Linked DNA regions of Mus musculus: regions 2 and 3 are each reported to be linked to region 1. The links are microRNA targets in miRTarBase. Many come from high-throughput screens and were not tested one by one. Region 1 holds a microRNA gene; each other region holds the end of a gene's coding sequence.

Evidence for each region. The annotated mature microRNA mmu-miR-539-5p reads GGAGAAAUUAUCCUUGGUGUGU and lies in region 1 at 4,946-4,967, opposite strand. An mRNA with a match to its seed (bases 2 to 7 or 8) in the 3' UTR can be bound and repressed. Matches are read on the target gene's strand: a 7mer-m8 pairs with bases 2 to 8, a 7mer-A1 pairs with bases 2 to 7 and ends in A, and an 8mer does both.
Region 2: the mRNA of Ing5 is a reported target of mmu-miR-539-5p. Seed matches in the 3' UTR shown: 7mer-m8 at 2,901-2,907.
Region 3: the mRNA of Zfp42 is a reported target of mmu-miR-539-5p. Seed matches in the 3' UTR shown: 7mer-A1 at 6,326-6,332.

What each region holds. Positions count from the first base shown.
Region 1 is chr12:109,725,906-109,733,102 of GRCm38, reverse strand. Mir539 (microRNA 539) reads right to left here and starts at 4,974; the gene lies at 4,901-4,974. Mir381 (microRNA 381) reads right to left here and starts at 6,281; the gene lies at 6,207-6,281. It overlaps Mir487b (microRNA 487b), which reads right to left and starts at 5,770; the gene lies at 5,689-5,770. It overlaps Mir544 (microRNA 544), which reads right to left and starts at 3,778; the gene lies at 3,701-3,778.
Region 2 is chr1:93,817,206-93,824,402 of GRCm38, forward strand. Ing5 (inhibitor of growth family, member 5) reads left to right here. Exons shown (of 8, transcript NM_025454.2): 8 at 1,076-4,896. The coding sequence ends at 1,118. It also overlaps a transcript of D2hgdh not described here. Among named protein-coding and RNA genes, the nearest start is that of D2hgdh, 4.4 kb to the right of the region's middle.
Region 3 is chr8:43,288,845-43,296,041 of GRCm38, forward strand. Zfp42 (zinc finger protein 42) reads right to left here. Exons shown (of 4, transcript NM_009556.3): 4 at 6,223-7,197. The coding sequence ends at 6,752. Among named protein-coding and RNA genes, the nearest start is that of Zfp42, 15 kb to the right of the region's middle.

The DNA of each region.
Region 1 (7,197 bases):
CGTGTCCCACCTGCCTCCATGGTTTCATAAAACATATTTCACTAGCAAAGTCCCTTGGGGCTTCACTTCTTTTCCATGGCCCCACCTTTCACCGTGATGGAAACCTGGCTCTCTCCTGAGGACATGGAAAGTATTCATCTTATTTCCTACAGTTCTGGCTAGCAGGCGGTAGTACCCCACCTCTATTTTGTTTCCCAGTGTAACATTCATTTGTTGATGTATCATCAAGATCCCCAACATTGGTCCTATGACTTCCTCATTTTCTGTTACCCTTTCTTCCATCTTAGCAGCCTTTCAGAGCATCCAGGGTCATTGCCTTAGCTGAGATAGCCATGATAGCAGCAAGGATGCTCCCTGCAGCCCACCGAATCATTCAGGGATTGTGGTTCCACCAACATTACGGTTGTACTACTTTGGCCCCTCCTCTTCCTACATGTTCACATCTGATGTTGGCTCATCCAGTCCCTGGGTACACCGGCTAGCCCTACTTTAAGAGCACCCCCAGTCTCCACTCTTCCAGTTGGGAAGATTGCTCATCCTCGTGATATCTTTATCAGCTCTCTAAAACCTGCACAACAGCCCGCATGGATTCTCTTGTCACTGTTCTTGACCAATTTGTGGAGCATGAAGTTGGGATATTAATAAGAATTTAACTTTTGAAAAAAAATTTAACTTAAATAAAATCAAAAATCCCCAAAGAGGGTCATGGGAAGACCTCAGCCTTCTCCCAGCATCCGTTAGGATAACAACTCTCCTGCAGAGGAGCAAGCCAAGTGCTAGGCATCAGAAACAAAACCCAGGTAGTTCCCAGTGAACTTCCCACTATGAAGCAAGACAGCCCGACATTTGTCAGCAAGATGTGTCGGTCAAGGAATCATCTCTGGAGCAAAAGCAGGAAGAGTGACCAATTACGTGCCAGCTGATACTCGTGTTTCTACCAGGGTAACACCAGAACACCCTTACACTCGCCTGACTCCACAGACTTATTCAAATCATCAAGGAGTAGGGCTCACCCAAAGCAGGAGACACACATTATCTGCTGCATGATTCTCTCCCTCCCATGATGGTCTGGAAATGATACCAGCACCCTCCCAAATATCACAACCCTTTCATCAGTGGTTAGGTTCTTGTCAGGAAGCACAGCACCGCTATACATCATAATGCGAGTGTGTGACTGTCATTGTACATACCTGGACTAGCTACTGAAGCCAAGGTCTCCTTACGGAAGGTGCCATGCTGTCCAGAAAGCCCTCGATGGCAGCACTGACAACTGGTTGACCAGAATAAACAAAGCCAAGGGCACAGGCATTACCAATCTGCAAGCACTAAACGTGACCATCTGTGAGCCCCGCCGTCTCTGGGCCATCCACCATGCAGCAAGTCTTCCTAAGAATGGATTGAGGAGCAAATGTTAGGAGAATTGGCTACACACCTTGTTTTTCCCTCTAGCCAAGTGAACAACTGTCCCTGAATTGGCTGAGGTCAATAGCCCTTCCTCAATAAGATCAATATTCCCTTATAGGACTCAGCATCAAGAAAGCTAACCATAGATTTGGGCAGGGGTTGGGTGGGTGGGGGAGGGGTGCTGAATAGATACTTCAGGAGAAAATTGTTCTTTTGGAAGAACTCTAAGCTCAGAATAGCCTATTCCCAAAGTCTGAGGCAGGGGGATTAACGTGCATTCAATTCTGGGGACCTCACTAGGGTAGCCTGGGTGCTGAGAGTCTGGAACAAAGAAGCCTGTGACCTTACGAGCATGTCCTGTTGTTTCTGGTCCATCATTTCTTCCTGGGCTTTGGGCTTCCCTCTGACATAGATAGGCCATTTAGTATTCACTTTTAGTAGCTGATAGCACTTCTCTCTGGCAAAGAGAGGAAGCAGGGGTGAGAGCTGAAGCATCCTGACCTCAGAAATGCCCTAAAGATGGCGTGCATGTGCTATAGGGTATCAGATATCCCTAGCACCTGGATTTACCTGGGCCAAATATACTCTTACAGACCTCAGGCCAATCCTGATAGGGCTCTTGTATGAAGCTGGCATCCATCTTGAACTGATTCCATCCAGGATTGGTCCCCACCAAGGGAAGAGTCATCCAGGCGGCAGGAGCTGGGCTTCCTGTCCGCCACCGGCATCATCCCTGAAAGGGAGACGCCCAAGAACAGCATCTTCCCTTACAGCAGGGATACAGGCCAACCTCCTTCTTCCAGAATCCCAAACAGCTGGGTTCATCTTACCTTTTGTGTGTGATCTCCACCAGCACAAAAAGAAAAGGAATCAAGTCTCTTCCAGAGCCGAACAGCAGGACGGGAAGCCCCATCGGGGTAGTGTCTGCACCTCAGTGGTGTCCACAGGAGGAAGGGGATGCCAGGGACAGGACCTCAGTGAGAACAAAGGAACAGGGTCAAGTTAGCTTGTCTTTCACAAGCCTGAATTCCGGGGGGTGTTTTTGAATGGATGTAACCCTGAAAACCAGTCTGTCCCCAGGGGAGTTGTGACTACTTCTCAACCATCTCATGGCTTCTCCCCACTGCCTAGCCATCCAGAAAGGGTTTGGCCCACATGCTCTGGCTGGGGAAGGCTATAGCCCTGGCATCAGCTCTCCTTTCAAGCGCACCCTGGCACTGAAAACTGGTAGAAGAAACGAAGGGTGTCCGTGAAAGCACAGCAAGCTCATCGCAAGCAGGACCAAGCTTCCTCGGGGTTGGTCTTCTCCATCAGGAATATCCAAGGAGCATCTCGAAGGAGCTGCAGGGCTCATCCAAGGCTCACACAAGGCAGGCAGTCTCATATCGCTTGTGCAGGGGGCCCTTCAAAAAAGCAGAGTTTGATAGTCAAAAGGAAGCTAACTGTGTCTCGTTCACAATAAGCAAACAGAACATGAATGACCTCAAATATTCTCAGAGATCTCTGACAGGAAAACCGGGGCCTCTTGTCTACTGTCCTCTCTCCTTCCAGAAGATTCTTCCAATGACAAATTGAATTCCTAGACTCTGAGAGGTGAATTCCCATAGTCTGTAAGAAAGCACATGAGCTGACAGCAACCACTCACTGCTACACATTGGTCCTAGGGCTAAAATCTGGTCTGACGGAAAAACTCATTCCCACAAGAGCTTCCTAAGGCAGGTCAATTTAGAAACAAAATGGAAGTCTATCTGGTCCTCCCTGAGAGGTAAGCTGGATGGCAAGAAGCCAGCAGCTGGCCGAATATCATGGAAGGGCAATGGCACCATGGGCATTACCTCTCTCGATAACGTCGAGGGTTGCTGGTAGATACGACAGATAGGACTCCTCCTTCCCCAGAAGCTGTGGTTCCAGAACTGTGCTCCTTACAATTGACTGGAAATGGAGAGTTACAGAGTCAGATGGTCTCAGTCACCAATAACCTGGTGCTGACAAGTCCTGCTGTTGGCTGACATAGGCAGCCCCTCCTTGAAGTAGCTCTTATATCTGGGAAGCCCATAGAGGCATGCTTTGATTTGAAAGAATAATCAATAATCAATAATGGTGTTTGTACAGCAGGTGGCCTTTCACAACTGACCACAGTTTGATCATCAAAAGGTAGCATATTGGCTCAATGCTCACTCATGATGGATAATGCGGGGTGGATGGAGGAGATGGAGCACACACACTACAAGGAACATGCAACATCACCTCCAGCCCCCAGTGGCTACATGTGTTGTCCACGGACCGGCAGCATTAGCATCACTTGAGAGCTTGCTAAAAATGCAGAATCTTGGCCCCTCAATCAGACTCTGCTTTTTAACAAGATCCCTAGGTGACGAATATCTTAGCAGCGTTGAGCAGTTTGAGAGGCCCTACACTAACCAACAATTTGTACAAGCATGCATGCAGGCACACACACACACACACACACACACACACACACACACACACACACACCAGATTATGGAATGAGCTGAAATGGTATGCTATTGACCAGGTATGTCTAAGAAAAAGTCAGCCCAAAGGAAGCCATAGGAACAGATAGAGAGTGACTTAAGGCAGCGGCGGCGGCAGGAAGTATCCTTATTAACACCTGTATTAACCACAGGAAGTCTATGCTCAGAATGGATGCTGAGGAGAGTGGGTGCTGGACCTAGAAGACCCTGGCCAAGTTCTGTCTACCTAAAGAGATGCTTGACCCAGTACCTTCTCAAGGAGTTCCTCTGAACTAAGACTTAACAGCAACAACAGACAGGTGAGTTATTCTCAGTGTTCTCCAGACCAAGCACAAAGAAGCAAGCCACCAAAGCTGTTGCCACCTCAAAGCTGTCACTGTGAGAGTACATGGGGGGGGGGGTGCCTTCTGAGGTTACTCTGCCTCAATAAATTCTCCCTCTCCTGCAGCAGGTACCAATGTCCATTAGCTGAAGTCACCACTGTGCTCTAGGACCTTCGGAAGCAAATCCAGATATGGGGCAAACAATGGTCGTCCCAATTAATCTCCATAAATATGGCGAGCACACTATTGATAGCCACCCTGCAAATGTCAGAGAACCACCGCACCGAGAAAAACCGCAGGACCTCCTCTCACGATCCAGACCAGACAGCTCGCCGGCCTCTGTCATTCAAGCACATGCTTGTGGAACCAGTCACACTCTTGAGCAAGGGGCCGGGGCCTGACCCCAGTGACTATCTGTGAGATTGGCTGCCCATCCAAAAAAAAAAAGAACGATTTGCCAAGTCATGAAAACTGTGCTATCTCACCATGACCAAGCCACGTAGGAACCCCTGGACTCTTCAAGCAAGATCCTGACTTGGGATCAGAGTGTAGCTCTTACACATCAGTTCTGTGCTCTCTTGCCTTGTGCCCAGGTAAGGCTAACCCATGCATCATGCACCAGGCACCTCTTTAAACAACCGTCTCGTCATCCCGGAAGTCCACCAGGGCAGTATTTGATACTCAAAAAGAAATTATCCTTGTATGATTCATCCAAAAGAGCCAACACACCAAGGATAATTTCTCCTCAAGTATGAAACAGTAGCACAGCAGGAATACCAGCATCCATAGGCCTCTTGGGAGTGATCACCACTCCTCACACGTGGCTGCACCCAATACATACATGCACCATGCATGCAGTACTACTGATGGCCATTCTAAGCACCAGGGAGGTGAGAGGCTATAGAAATGACTCCCCAGGACTCAGCATGACAACCTCACGTTAGCCTCTTCTAAGGGTAATGGTGGCTGGGGTCAAGAAGCCAGGCAGTGTCCATCTTAAGTGGAGCAAGCATTGTGGGTGGCCCTGCTGACCCCCGGCATGGGGTCTTCTGTTCTAGAAGCTGCTACAGAAATGATGTCACTGCCGAGTCACAAGCACCACCTTGTAAGTCCAGCACAAACTCTAAGCTCCAACACCCACTCACATGACTGACAGAGAATGTCTGTCTCAACATGGGCTCCCAAATCCAAGGAGAGGTTTGTATATCACCATCATAGCTGCCAGCAGTCAGCTCCCAGCAGACAAAAGTTTGGGCTGGCACATGGTCAATAATGAGCCTAGTCCCTACAAGAGCCTGATCTCTCCCAGCCCCCGAGAGCCATATGCATTGGACCCCAAGAGGACTCGCGAGTGACACACGAGACAAGGAGCATAACACGGCGACACCCTTGTCCAAGGATGTGTGATGGGAAGTGGCAGTGGCAGGATCCAGGCGCAGGAAGCCAGGCTGCAGAGTCTGCGCACTTGATACTGAAAAAGTGGATGACCCTGTACGATTCGGCATGAGTGAAGCGAAGAGGACAGGGATAACCACTCTCCAAGTACCAAAGCTCGGCCTGGAAAGCAAAGCCACCGCCTCAGGTAGACGTGCTACGTCTTCCAGGTAGGGTCCTGGGGACGAATTAGACGCTGAGCGTTAGCAGACTGGGTCACACACACCAAGCAAGAACATGCACACTTGGGTACCACGGCACGGCAGCACATCAAAAAACAACGGCCCACACCAGCACAGACCTGACCATCAGCCTGGGAAAGCAGGGACCCAGGCTACACACAGAGAGCATGCTTTGGGACCAACCCATATGGACAAGGAGAGGGGATGTACCCGAGGTCTTTCCTGAAGTCATCTTGCGCCCATGAAGCCGTTGGTGCATAAAGGAAACCCAGGAAGCAGTTTGTCACACACAAGATGGATACACACGGTCATGCACACACATACCACATCCCTCGCTGAGTGTGGACGGGATCCAAGATAAGGTTTGATACTCACAGAGAGCTTGCCCTTGTATATTCCATGTCAATAAACCGAATATACAAAGGGCAACCTCGCTTTAAGTACCAAACAATAGCATGGGGCAGGTTCCGCTCTAGCATTCACGGGGTCAGCCTCGTCTCCTGGGACTTAGCCTGGGGAGGGATGATGGGAGATTCGGAATCAGCCAATTACATGGCAAACACCACCTGCCAGATGTGTGCCCACTGGTCAGCTCTCCATCCAAGGAGCTTGGGCTGGGACAGATACTTGGGGGGTGGGGGGGACCTTTTTCTGATATTACTGGCAGATGTTACAACAGATTGAGATTTTCACTCTCTCAGGAAATACAGAACTCAGATTTTTGCTTTCTGTAGGTAAACCCTGGTTAGGACTACAATCTTATCCTTAGCACTTTCTCTATGATGCCCACCTGGCTGTACACTGCACACAGAGGACAGGAGGACCCCAGGAATTTATAGAAGTGATTAAAGCCAATCCTTTCTGCCTTCCCAGTAACGGGTATCAGTGTCACTCCCAGGACCGGACCCTGCCCCACTAATTCTGCCCGATAGTGGAATGGGACAGAACTAGAAGGAAGTTGATGCCATACAGGGGTCAAACTCCACATGCCACTGAATGATGGAACCATCTTTCCTTTTTGGGACCTCTTCCCCAGAAAAGAGCAGGCAGGAATGGCCACAGGTTTGCACTGAATCATGGCAAGGAAAAACACTCACCTTTTTTTGACGGGATGGGTTGCTTCCATAGGTGCGGGCTGTTAAAACTGCCCCCTTCTGATCTAGGTATAGCCACAGAAGAACACCAGATAGACCGCACGGAATGGGAAACTTCAGCCTCTTCCCAAAGACAGACACCACTTCCAGGAAGTCCTCACTTGGAGAGGGGTGGACCAGGCCTGAAATCATTATAAATAAAGATGTATAAACCAGTACTTGTATCAAAGCTGGGATAGTCTAACATCATGCTTTATCTTCTAAG
Region 2 (7,197 bases), not on the chromosome of region 1:
TGCATGCCCTGCCGCAGTGCCCTGATGATGTGTGTGGTGTGAGTGTTAACCTCATGTTACAAGACCCATATGGCACTGTGCCTTGTGGGAATTGACTGGGCTGCGGTGGTGGTAGGCATGTGAGCAGGCGTGTAGCTGGGCTGCGGTGGTGGTAGGCATGTGAGCAGGCGTGTAGCTGGGCTGCAGTGGTGGTAGGCATGTGAGCAGGTGTGTAGCTGGGCTAGGGAAAGAGCGACCCTGTGAGGCGTGGGGTCTGACTTTGAGTTCAAGGTAGATGCAGTGAGTTGTTTGTGGGATTTCCAGGTGAGGGAGTCCAACCGCACTGGCAAAGCTGTTGGGGTGCTCCCTCTGAGAGTCTGGAGGCCTCACAGCCGCCTCATGTGCTGGGCCCAAAGCCAGACAGAGGAATTGGGGAGTGGGGTTCCAGTGCAGTCTTTGTGTAGCTTACCAGAATGGGCTTCCTCAGAGAGACACAGTCACTGTAGTACTGGCCTAGGTGCTCAGAGCGTCTTAGTACAGAGGGATGTGATGATAGCTGTTACGTGTGTTAGAGTTGTCTCTCACATGGGGAACTTATTAGAATGTCCCTTTGGGTCATGAGTGGCTATTACATTCTTGAGTGTTGGTGAACACTGAGTCTCTGATGTGTGTTTGTTCTGTGTGCTTGAACCATAGCACTGTGTGACCTGTGTGACCCATATAGGGCCCAGTCCAGCTGTGCCAGGAGCTGTTGTTCACTGGCTTACAGGCTCGTGTCTGTACATGTGGTCTTGAGTATGACCAATCTGCCAGCCAGCTATTGGTGTCAGCTCTATAGTGGACACCTCATATTATGGCCAGCCTTATCAACTTGATCCCAAGGCTGCGCTGATAGGTATTATTAGTCAGCTTCAGATATGCTCGAACCAGTAGTTGAAATGTCAGCTTTCCTCAGAGAAAAGAGCACCTCTTACTCAGTGTAGCTGCTCTATGGCACTTGGTTCCTAGAGTCCAGACACCCTGAGATATGCAGGAAGTCTACCTGGGGTCCTGTGCTCCAGGAGAAACGATGATCCCAACGCTTTTCTCGTCACAGGTTTTGTCCACGATGTGTTCAGGAAAAGAGGAAGAAGAAGTAAAGAAGAGGCTGTTGTGCCAGACTGAAGAGCAAGCTAATATATTTCCTCACTCATGTTGCAATATGATCTTTCATTTTAAAACTACCTTATTTTGACTGATATTTAATAATTCAGTGGCCAGTTGTAATTTTGGATATTTCCTAAAACAAGAAGCCGCTGCACCATTTGCACAGAACAATCTCACAGGGACTTGCCACAGTGACTTTAGGAGCAGGCTCCCCCATCCCACAACCTCCCAGCACTGGGAATGGCCACACCATCAGTGATGTGTGTCAGTTTGAGCTGTAGGCAAAGTGCATGGTGCAGGGTGAACGCATTTTAACCTGTTACACTGCCACTGCTTTGTGACTAGAGGGTCAGCCTTGCGTGTCCACGGTTTCCAGGACTGTCTGTGGCAGCATGGAAGCACAGCTGGTGCTCTGTGAGTAAAGTATTGTCAGGCACTGCCCCATGCTGTGCTCTGACCCTTACTGGAGACCAGGCACTCTTGGCCAAGATCCCTCTGACGTGTCTGGAAGGGACCGGGGGCTCTTCCCAGGTGGAAGTACCCTCTGTCGTTTTGTGCACCACCTTTTCCTGTGAACTTACGGCCCTCCCTGGAGATTGAGCTTCCGTTAGCCTTGGACTGTCAGTTACCACAGCCAGCACTGCCCAGCAGCGGACAGCCAGACAGCCAGGCTGAGCTTCCAGCTCTCTGGGGATTCCCGCCTATATTTTTTTACTGTGAAGATGAAATTATTGTACTAGCATGAAGGTCATGGGTCTGTGTGTCTATGAAGTGAGTCTGTCTACTGTGAGCTGATCGTAAGAACTCTGCTGTGCTGCATCCCACTAGGCCAGCAGCTTATGTTCAAGGGGACGATGATTATGTGACATGATTTGTGACTCTGTGCCCAATAGCAGTTCTGGAATGAAGGTAGGAAACTGGAGTGTACTCTTTGTTTGACCACTGTCCACAAAACCAGTGTTGAACTGTCTTGAAATATTGGGGGGATGTCTACCCGGGGCCTGTTGAGATGCATCTGTGGTGTTCCTTAAGAGCGACAGGCTCCTGAAAGCCACGGTTGACTTAGAACTCCTCTGGCATGTTCTTCAGTAACTCAGGCTCTCTGAGAAGAATTAAAAGAGTCCAACCGGTACCTGGCCTCACCTCAGAAAAAGACCTGCAAGACAGAGCTGGGTTATGCAATTTCTGATGTAAGAAGAGGCCGGCTCTTTATATAATGACAGGCACATTGTTTTCTTCTGATGGTCACAAACAAAGCAGAAGGGTGTTGTCTCTGCCCCATACCTGTGTCACCATGGTCATGTTCTTACTGGACAATGTCTTGCACAGCCTATCCTAGTGAAAGAGGAAGACAGGAGTGGCTTGTGTTTGTGCTACTGAATATGTTGGTCTGCGTTGACCTTTCCTGGGCTGTAGGTACCAGGCAGGTTAGCTGTCGTTGATAGGCAAGTGCACAAGATTGTCTCTAGGCTAGGAAGAGCTTTGGGAATGGGGCTGGCATTCTTCTTGGGGACCCCTCTCAGGGTCAGATTAGATAGACATAACTTAGCCTTTAAAAATTGTGAGGGACCCCCCTCCCCCAAAGACCAGATCTCATGTATCCTAGGCAGGCTTTGAACTCACAATGTAGCTGAGAATAACGTTCATCTTTTGGTCTTTCTTCACCTCCCAAATGCTGAGGTTATAGGTGTGCACCAATAGGTCTGTCTGGTTTTGCAATGGTAGGGACCAAACCCAGAACTTTTTTTTTTTTTTTTTTGGTTTTTCAAGACAAGATTTCTCTGTGTAGCTCTGGCTGTCCTGGAACCCACTGTGTATATGACTAGGCTGAACTCCAACTCAGAGATTCTCCTGCCTCTGCCTTCCAAGTGCTAGGACTAGAGAAGCATGCCCCACCACCGCCAGCTCCAACCCAGAACTCTTGAGTGTTAGGTAAGCCTTCTGCAGATTGAGTCACACCCCAGCCTTCTCTTTATTCTTCTACCATTTGTTCTCTTTCTTCAGTGCTTGGGGTCAGGCCTCATGCTTCCTTTTAATCTTAAATTTTAGATTATTTATTTATTTATTGGGAGGCAGGGCTTTATTATGTAAAAGACTAGCTTTGAACTTGCAGTCATCTTGCTGGAGCTAGGCAATGCTGGGACCACAGATGGCCGCCACTGTGTCTGGACTGCTTTTTACAGTTTCTGTAACTACAGGACGTTTTTAATCAGATCTTGCTTGGTAATGCCTTAGAAGCTGGGTTACTATGTGAGATTCAGCCTGAGGCAGCTGAGTCCTTTGATGATCAGGAAGAAGTGGCGTTTACTGGTGGCGGTGTTAGAGGCTGGATGAGTTCCATCTTCTGGCTTCCTGAGGTCATGCTGGCTCTTTCCCTGAGGTCTTCTACCTGGGGCCACCCTACATACTGGCTTCTGATTTTTATTTATTTTGTGAGTTCCTATGATTATCTCCTTTTTGACAGTTATAATGTCATGAAAATAAGATGCATATAGCTTGGCAAAAAAAAAAAAACAGAATTCGTGAGTTTGGGGATTTACCTCCATGGTGGAAAACCATGCCTAACAAGTGTGAAGTGTAATGTGGTATTGGCTGTATGTAGGTGAACAAAGCTGCCTTCCAAAAGTGATGGTCTAGGTTAGATCCCTGGCAACAAAATGGGGGGAAAACAGAAAGGAAAATCTGTGGGTTGTGGCTGGTATTCTGATGGAAGGCTTGTTCCCACTGCTTCTGTGTGTAAGCAAAGAGGGAACTTCAGGAGACGCGTTCCGGCACCAGCTCCGCCTCAGATGTGGAGAAGCCACGAGCACACCCCTCAGCCCTGCTCCAGAAGCCTGAGTGTCTCCATCGCTGGATCAGACACTCTCATGCCTGCTGGTCGAGACCTGGCTCTTAAGCTGTCCTTGCTTCATCAACAGACTGGCAGCTGCTTTGCCTGAGCCAAGGCTGGGTCTTCCCTGTGTAATTCCCCTTGTAAGTACAGGAGTGTTTTGCTGAGAGGAGGGGTCATCTTTCTTGTTTTCTGTGCACATTATCAATAGTTTATTATAGAAGAAGCATGATGAATTAGTAAAAAATTGAGCCCCTAGATCTGTGAACATGTTAGTGGTGTAATGGGTCCAAGCAGCACTGACCATTCGCCTATCCAGCAGGTGGGATCAGTAGGAGGCAGGCTGCCAGCCGTGTCTTCCACTCTACAGTGAAGAGCCCTGTAGTGTGAGGTTTTGTGGATGGCTGGGGAAGTGGGCACCTGCTTGCTCCTGTGTATACAGCATCTTGCCTTCTATCCCTCATTTGACCCCAGAAGGCCTTGGCGGGGATGCTTCATCCAGAGAGCAACTTCTCCATGTGATCACGGTGCCAGGGTTGGCCCTGTTAGAGGGCTGGGAGGTTAGGTAAGTCTTAAGGGTTTGAAATCAAACAGCGAGGAACCTTTGTTTCAGGCTTTGAAACTCTGTTTTCTATGAACAGAGATTGATTGGTCTTCACTGCCTATGCCCAAAGGAGCTTTAAAGCAGGGGAGGTCTAAGAAGTGTCTTTTCCCTCAGAATGTGCTGTGGTCGTTGCTCTTCGCCACACTCCATCCATCAGGATGATCCAGCTTTAACATGAATGTCACATTTTATTTTCAAGGAATTATTACCTATGTCCCCTTTGTAAAGGAGAGATACTATGGTAAATCTTTTTATTAAATAATGTAAAGATGTATATCTGTATTTTTGGATCATGGATTATGGATATATTGTTTAATAAAGTATTTTTGGGAAGAAACATTTGAAAGTAGATCATTTTGAAAACAGGTATGTTGATCCCTGTGCTATGTCAAAGGTGAGCATATGTCATGTTCAGTTACTCAAAGTCAAGGATGCCAAGGGGGACCCTATAGACCTAGGACCCTGAGTTTGGTTTTGGTTGGGTATTTAGGGAGGTCAGCGGCCAGTGCTGTATTTCCAGACTCCCAGGGAAGATGTGTGCATGAATGGGAGTACCAGGGGCTGCTTTATAAAGTAGTATTGAGGGGCTGGGATGTGTCTCAGTGGTAGAACACTTGCCTGGCATGTGCAAGGCCCTAGATTCATCCTCAGCAATGTGAAGGAAAGTACTGGGTCCCCTGGTGTGGGGACCTAGACCTGGGGAATTCTTGAGAACGTTAGCATCCCTCTGAGAACATCCTAGTCTGGTTGGGCAGTTTCCACACACATACACAAAAAGGCCCCAGACTGGCGCTTAGCAGAATTTATTTCCCACAGTTCTGAAGGTTTGAAATCAAGGTGTAAGCAAGGTTGATATCTGCTAAGGGCTATGTAGGCTGCTGCCTTCTCACTGTGCCCATGTGACAGTATGTGTGGCGCTGGGTAGAAAGGGAATTCTCTGGTATTTATCTCATTTTGTAGCCTTGACTATCTTGGAATTCTGGCCTGAAATCCCAACACCTGGGAAGTCAGACAGGTTGTTCCCTGAGCTGTAGGTAGCCTAGTCTACATAGCTAGTTGCAAGCCAGGCTGGCCAGTGTAGTGAGATACAGGACTCTGAGCATGCAAGGCAAGTGCTCTACCAACTGAGTTACACCCCAGTCCCCAGGATTTCTTTAAAACTGATCCTGAAGGTCCCAGCCATAAGCCCCTGCTTACCCTTAATTACAGACATGTAGACTCTGCCCCCAGTCAGGTTAGGGGCTAGGGCTTCCACATGCGAATCTGGGCATATCCATTACTGAGGCATCTTGGATATTTACTTGGCCAGTGCTGAGTTAACATGGTCAGCATGAGACCGAGCTTTGCATCCATCATGGGAAACACTTTGTCAGAGGCTGTGGTTTTAGGGGAAGGGTCCAAGATACTGCTGGCTTTGGTGATCGGGTACTGGGTGTTTAAAAGGACCAAATACGTAGGTGTCTTTCCTGAGCCTGTAACTGATTGTCTAAGGGTTACTAATGCTGTGATAAAACACCATGACCTTGGAGACACTCACAGTGCCACATTACTGTTCATCACCAAAGAACGTTAGGACAGAAACTCAAATAGGGCAGGATCCTGGAGGCAGGAGCTGATGCAGAGACCATAGAGAGGTGCTGTTTACTGGCTTGAGTTCATGGCTTGGCTCAGCCTGCTTTCATATAGAATTCAGGACCATTAGCCCAGAGAAGGCCCCACCCACAGTGGGCTGGGCCCTCTCCTATCAATCACTAAGAAAATGCCTTTTTTTTTTTTTAAAGGATTTATTTTATGTATGTGAGTACACCGTTACTGTCTTCAGACACACCAGAAGAGGGCATCAGATCTCATTACAGATGGTTGTGAGTTACTGGGAATTGAACTCAGGACCTCTGGAAGAGCAGTCTTAACCACTGGACCATCTCTCCAGCCCAAAAATGCCATTTTTTATTTTTTAAAGGGAGGGTCGTATTGGAGGTATTTTCTCAACTAAGATTCCTTCCTTTCAGATAACTCTAGCTTGTGTCAAGTTAACAGAACTGTCCAGTACATTGACAGTCTTGATAACTTCTAAATACCCTCAGTGGCCTATGGAGTATGGGCCAACTTGGTAGAAACAGCCCAGTAGAAGCCTCTGGAATGTCCTTTCAACTAGTATGTGTTAACCATGTCCCAATGCCCCTGTCTGATAAACCTGGGAGGGTGAGCAGACCTGAGGGAATTGCTCTTCTGGAGGTACAGCTGTACCTTGATCCCTCCCAGCACACACTGTGTAGCTGTTGATCCCTAAATGCTGCATTCTCTTTTCTTTTTGGTTTATCTGTGTAGTTCTGGCTGTCCTGGAACTTGCTCTGTAGACCAGGCTGGCCTTGAACTCAGAGAGATCTGCCAGCCTCTGCCTCCCAAGTGCTGCGATTAAAGGCATGCACCACCACCACCCAGCATATTCTTATATCCAGTTTGCAAGGACTACCACAGTGCCTTGGCTTTTAGTTGGCACCACTATACCTCTCTGTTCTTGCCTCAGCTTCAGGAGCCTCCTGCTCTTCCCTGGTACAGAGATCTAAAGTAATTATCTTAACATCTTAAAGAAGGTACTTCCAGGCTTGTTCCTCGATGGGAAACGGAAGTGGTTAAG
Region 3 (7,197 bases), not on the chromosome of region 1:
TATATTGATATTATCTGCTGTTATATAACTAACCCCCAAATTTAAACATCTGGAAAAGCCATTTTATTTTGTCACTTAGTGAGTTTGAAATTTCACAAAGGACCATTCAATTTGTCTCTCAAGACAGACCAGGATACCTCCTGTGCTGGTGATAGGTGACCATCCCAAAATGGCTCCTTACCTCATGTTTGGTACCCCTGGCTGTCTAGCTTCTGTCATCTTCTCCTACACACGTCTTATCCAGGCAAGGTCTCAGACTTCATCCAGGATGTTATTCTTAAGTGTTTCAAGTGAGAATAGCTACTCAGGCTCTTATACACTAAGGGTAGCAGGGTAGGCAGACTTTATAGCTTTACAAATACTAATAGTCATAGATTGATAATTTTTCATTGTATAAGCATATGGTACAAAGTGATGTAATAGTTTATGAATATGATGTGGGCTGATTAAATTAAGCTGGTTGACATATATATCCAAAGGCTAAACTCTTTTTTTTTAAATTTCATTTACATTTCCAATGCTATCCCAAAAGTCCCCCACACCCTCCCACCCACTCCCACTTCTTGGCCCTGGCGTTCCCCTGTACTGAGGCAGATAAAGTTTGCACAACCAATGGGCCTCTTTCCACTGATGGCCGACTAGGCCATCTTCTGCCACATATGCAGCTAGAGACACGAGCTCTGGGGGCTACTGGGTAGTTCATATTGTCGTCCCACTTATAGGGTTGCAGATCCCTTTAGCTAAACTCTTATGTGAAAAGTTATCTACCTATATTTAATTTAGGGGTATAAAGTGCTAAGGGTAGTACCCAGAGCCATGAGGATGTTAAGCAATCTCTCTACTACTGAGCCATCCTTAGACCAAGACCTTACTCTTTTTTGAGCCCAGAGCCTACTCAGTGCAGTCGTCACCCTCCTCCTCATCCTCGCCATCCAGAGACAGAGCAGCGTGCTTGCTTGCAGAGCTGAACTCGGAGGCCGGAATCTCCTCAGGTTTCTTTGGCTCAGGTGCAGATCTGGAGTCTTGATCTTTTTTGCCATCCTTCCTATCCAAGTCCTTCCAGTGGTCTCTGCTCCCTCCATCCCCAGGACCACGGCTGCAGCTTCCAGTTTGGCCTTGTGTGGCACCCACAAACAAGGGCTTTGGTACTGACAAGTATCTCTAACTCCTTTATAAAATTTTGAGAAAAGGTCTGAGTTGCCCAGCTTAGCCATGAATTTTTGGTCCTTCTACCTCACCTTTCAGAAGAATTAGGGAGAGCAGGCATGGGCTGTGACCTGAAACCTTAGGCTTTAATAGGAGGAATGGCAAAGATTTTTGCTGCCGTCTTTACCAAATCAAGGATGGAAAGTTCTAGAATGCAGTTTTGACAAGACCCAAAGCATTTCTACACACACAAATGTTCCCATGCTTAGTGATCAGCAGTTTGGACAGGCACCAATTTTCTTAGAAAATAGGATGTAATTACACATAGTGTGCAGCATTTTGGCGTTTAATGGTGATGATTATCAAAATTCTTCCCAGTTTTACTGCTTCTTTGATTTGTATGTGTATTTTATGACCATCATTTTGAGTTGGAGGGAGCATGTACTATCTTTTTATGGCATGCAACTATGATCTTAGGAGTGCTAAGAATAGTTTATTAATGCCCGGGGCATCATTGAAGGCTACCTAATACCTTTGATTTACTAAAGTCACAAAAGTTATGTTAGCTTGTTTTATGGATATGACTTTAGCCATATGGTAAAGCACAGCTTGGTACAGGTGTTCTTCATATCTGGCCCACTGACATCTAAGAAATTCAACTCTTGGGTCACAGAGAAAAGGAACAAAAACCCTAATAAAACCCACATGCTAACCATTAACATTCATTTACCAAAGCTTGCTTAAGCTCTTGTACTCTTAAAGCTAATTTCATCCAATTGCCTTTTAATTATAGTTCTTGCTTGGAGTTGCAAATATAATGGGTTTTTAATGTAACTTGCACTGTTCTGTGTCCAATGCAGGATGTAATCATGCAGTTTATTCAGTCAGAGCCATTGCATGGGGTAATTACTACACGAGTGCACACGGATGTCTGCACATACATACACCCGGTAGGAGAATCATATAGGAGCCGGACAAGCTGGGCATGGTGGTTCACAGTGAGATCCAGGGCAGCCAGGATCCAATGTCAAAAGTCTCTGCTGAGTGGAACAGTGTAGATGTTTCACATGCTATGTGAAGTCATTCTTTTAAAAAATGGTTATGTATATACATCATGTGTACCACCACACTTGCACAGGTGCTTGCTCACTGGGGTCAAGGAGTGTTGGGTCACCTGGAAATGAGTTATAGGCAGTTAGCTGGAAGCTACCTGGTGTGGGTGTTGGACAAAGACCCGAGTCCTCTGCAGAGCGGTACCCAGTTTATCTGTTAAGTGTTAGAGAAAGGATCTACATTAACACTGATTTTTAGCTTGTTCAGTTACATTTCTCTACCCTGGCACTAATCTAAGAAAAAACTGATATTTTTCTTATGGTTACATGAAAATACTTTGGAAGAAATTTAAGCAAGGAAAGAACCATACACAGAAAATTATAACTATTACTGGAACTGAAAAGTATGTGAAATGAAAAGACATCCCTTGCTCGTAGGTTAAAAACAGCAACAACTGCGTCACAGAGGCACTTTGGAGGTAGCACGTGGTGGCTCTGAGTTTAAGGCCAGTCTGCTTTATAGAGTGAGTTCCAAGAGAGCCAGGGTTATACATTGAAACCCTGTCTCAAAAAAAACAAAACCCAACCAAGCCAAACCAAAAACTACCACCACGACCACAACACACAAAAACAAAGCAAAATTAGTGGAATTTCATGAAACTTAAGAACTTGTACACAGCTAAAAAAAACTATCAACAAAATTAAAATGTACTCGGCAAACTTGCAGAAAATACTTGCATGCTTCTGATAGGTATTAAAATATACAAGGACAAGAATTCCCAGCTCATTAGCAAATAAATAATCCTCCATAAAAATGGATAAGAGAAACACAAGGAAGTCGTCTTACTTCTGTAATCACAACAGTGTGTGGAGAACTGTTGTGGAAGACAGCTTAGGGGGGTCCTCAAAACAAAACAAAATGAAACAAACAAAGTCTAAGCAGGGTTTCTATGTAACCTAGCCATCCCACTCTTACATCCTGACACCCTTGCCTTTAAGGCTGTTCAGAATACCCAAGGTGTAGAAGCAACACATACTGGCATTAGTGCTTGAAGTTCATACAGCCTTTTGTAATGTGGAAAATCTTGGACTCCACTATAGTAGAAACAAAACAAACAAACAAACAAAAAAAACCCACTGACTATCAACAGCAAAATATATGTTTAAACAAAGAATAAAACCAAATACTTATTTTTGTGGTGGTGAGGTGGTTTGAGACAGGGTTTCTCTGTATAACCCTGACTGTCCTGGTAGACCAGGCTGGCCTTTCAGGGATCCACATGCCCCTGCTTCTGCAGTGCTGGGTGTAAACGCATGCTACCATACCAGGCTGAAATAGTATACTTTTTTAATCAAAAGTAGGGAGGCAGAGGAACAGGACTTGACAAAATAAGCTCTCAGTTGTGTAGGAAAATCTCGGCTGTGCAAGTGTGCATGTCTGCTAGCTGTGGAGCTGACTAAACGGTAGCATCTGGATTCATGTCAAATTCTACATGGATCAACTCCTTTCATTTTGCTTGGATGTTTCTTATGTAAAACACAAATGTGGAAAGTATGTGTACATTCATTTGTAAAACATTAACAAAAGGGCTGGGGGCTTGACCCTGTGGTTCCCAGCATTGCCTGCTCTTCTAGAAGACCTGGGTTCAATTGCCAGCACCCACATAATCTTTTCTATGTCCAGTTCCCAGGGAACCAATGTTCCATTCTGCCATCTAGAGGCATTGGACTCACATGGTGCTCAGACATACATGAAGGCAAAATGTCATATACTTAAAAAAAAAAAATGAAGACATAGCTCAGTGGCTACTCCTCCAGAGGACCCTGGTACCCACATGGCAGCTCTAAACACCAGTTCCAGGGGATCCAATACCCTCACATGCAGACAAAACCAATGCACATAAAATAAAAACTAAAACACTAGAAAGTATTCCAAGTGTGACCCCTCAATACCTAGCCTCTTTTCCATGTCCTCTACCTTTGCTATTCCACCTACATCTTCGGGGAGAAGAGACAGAAGGGCCACGCTAGACACATAAAATCCCATTTTCTAGGCCTCAAAATCCAGATAGGAACATCTTGTAACTTCTAGAGACTTTTTCTCGTGAAAGGAGCTCAGAGCAGACCCACCTTTACAAGGAGAGCCAACCTTACCCTTCTGAGTGCTCTGAGGCTCCAGTCTGAAGAGCCTGCTCCCTAATCTCTGCATCTTCTGGTTGGTCTTTAATCTTTACTCTGAAACTAGAATCCATAAAGGATGGAGTCAGACACAAGGCTGGCAGAAGCAAACACCAGCTAGGCACATGATCCATCACCTTGATTAAACTTGCCTTAAGTTCTGTATGCAGGTGTTAGATTTAGAAGAAAATTGAAATTTATGAATGGCTTTTGTGCACTACTTTACTGATATTAATCTAGAGTTTCAGGATCCACATTCCTATAAAAATGATAGAATTGTCCTACCAAATATATACTAGTTAACATTCTGTAATAGTCCATATTAGCAAAAACTTCACATTGAAGTCAAACTATAGGCTCTGATTTTTCAAAGACAGGTTGCTTTTAAACTTTGGCATTTATAAAGAAATCAAGATTAATTGATAGTCGTCATTCATCCCTTTTTCTTTTCCTAAAATATGTGCTTTAACTTCCAGGGATATGGTGAATCTTCAAAAAAGTAGCATCTAACTAAAGCTGAACTGTGGCATTTTTACCAGAACCAAGTCACTTACATTGACTGGCAGGTGGGGGTGCAGGTTCAATGGATGCTCATTTTCTCATTTCACTTCACAACTATACAAATACAAATAAGTTAATCCTATAATAGAGTTCCTCACTACCTTTTCCTTTGTCCGCATTTAACTGCTTCGAATTCCTTTCCTAGCATGCACTCAAGTTTATCCTATCTATTATAAACAACAAAGCTCCTTAATTATGGGTCCCCTCTCGACATGACCCTTTTCCCCATTTCCCTTTGTAGGGTCCTTTAAAGCATTTGCATATTTCATTGAGGAGACCTAGCATGATTTAGGGTAAATGTTTTTACTGAGTGGACATTTATGTTATGAATTTACCACAATCAAATAGAACTTCCTTAATATCCTTGAGGAAATACTTTCAAACATGACTCTAAGCACTTCTAAAGAACTCTAGAAATAAAAATGACTGGGCCAAGAGGACTGCACAGAATTTATGGGTTTGTATCCTCCTCAATATTCAGACATTAAAAAACCTTGAACTCCCAGGACTTCGGAACCAGATCATGTGATCTTATCTGAAGAGAGGTCTTTTCATAGATGTGTAAGAGGAGGTCTTCAGGGCGGAGCGTTACTCAGCACAAAGAAACAGGAGGGGCCAATGATGCTCCATGACACAGCACAGTGGGAAACAAAATCTTGGCCCGTTCTGGGAAGTACTATTTGATTGTAGTAAACTCATAACATGAATGTCCACCACTCAGGAGAGCAATCCTTTGCTTTTAGACTGGTGGCTTCCTAGCCTCCATAACTACAAGAGCATACATTTCTGGTGTTTGAGGTAGATTTTTTGTCATTGTGGACTGGTGGACTTCAAAAGTTTGAGAGAACGCCTGGAAATGATAGCAAAATAGCTTCGACAACCTCTCCCTAATGGACTGGTGTATCAATATTGAATGCTAGTCACTCTCCTTTGGGAAAGTCTCATTGTTAGTTCTGGCTGAGCTGACATGACATTTGCTGTTGTGTATGAACGAGGTTGGTCTCAGACTCACTGAGATCTGTCTGCCTATACTTTCTGGATGCTGGGATCAAAGATGTATACCACCACACCCCACCCTTTCTGAAGTGCTCTGTGTCTGTCTCTCTTTTTTTGAGACAGGGTACCTCTATAGAGCTTTAGCTGAGCCCAGAGGCAGGGCTGACCAGGCTGGCTTCAATTTCAAAGATCTGCCTGCCTCGGCCTCCTGAGTGCTATGAACCACTCACTATGACTGGCTATTGTCTTCTTAATGCACTTTTTTTTCCCCAGAAATTGAACTCATTTCTAGTGTTTTATTTCCTTTTATTTTGAAACATCTAAAATCTTCAGATGGATCAACTTTTTTGTAACTATTCACATTTAACTATGATTAATATAGTTTGGTACAATGAGAAAAACAAAAATCAAAACATAAAATTTAGAAATATGTATTCATTTGTTGACTACTGCCAAAGTTGGCCATTCTTTAGGATTATCAAATTTACCATGAAGCATATTTCTAAAGGTAAAAGCTAGGCAATTAGGAACTGCATAGTTAAAAATAACTGATTTTCCGACGTATGCAAAAGTCCCCATCCCCTTCAATAGCACATATAGTAAGGGTTATGCTTTTGAAACTGCTTTCACCATTGACTTTCCTGTTGGAACTATACCATGGAATACCAAAAGAGGCCTTAAAACTGTATAATGAAGAGTTGCAAAATTATTTTAGCCATAGAATCTATCCCTACAAATAACAATCTGTACATAATGCGTGTATCCCCAGTGCCTCTGTCATTAAGACTACCCAGCCTGAGGACAATCTGTCTCCACCTTCAGCATTTCTTCCCGGCCTTTGCGTGGGTTAGGATGTGAATCTTCTGGTTATTTGACTGAATAAAGCTCTTCTCGCAGCCATCAAAAGGACACACAAAGCGCCTCTCCCCGGTGTGGATGCGGATATGGGTGCGCAAGTTGAAATCCAGGGAGAAGCGCTTCCCACAGCCTTCGAACGTGCACTGATACGGCTTCTCTCCGGTGTGCACCAGAAAATGTCGCTTTAGTTTCGAGCTCTCCGTGAAGGCTTTGCCACACTCTGCACACACGTGCCGCCGGGGCCCGTGGACAAGCATGTGCTTCCTCAGGGCGGTTTTATCCCTCAGCTTCTTCTTGCACCCGGCTTGAGGACACTCCAGCATCGATAAGACACCACAGTACACACCGCCCTCTGGCTTCTCTGCAGGGCCGCCTGCAAGTAATGAGCTCGCCCCAACCCTCAGCG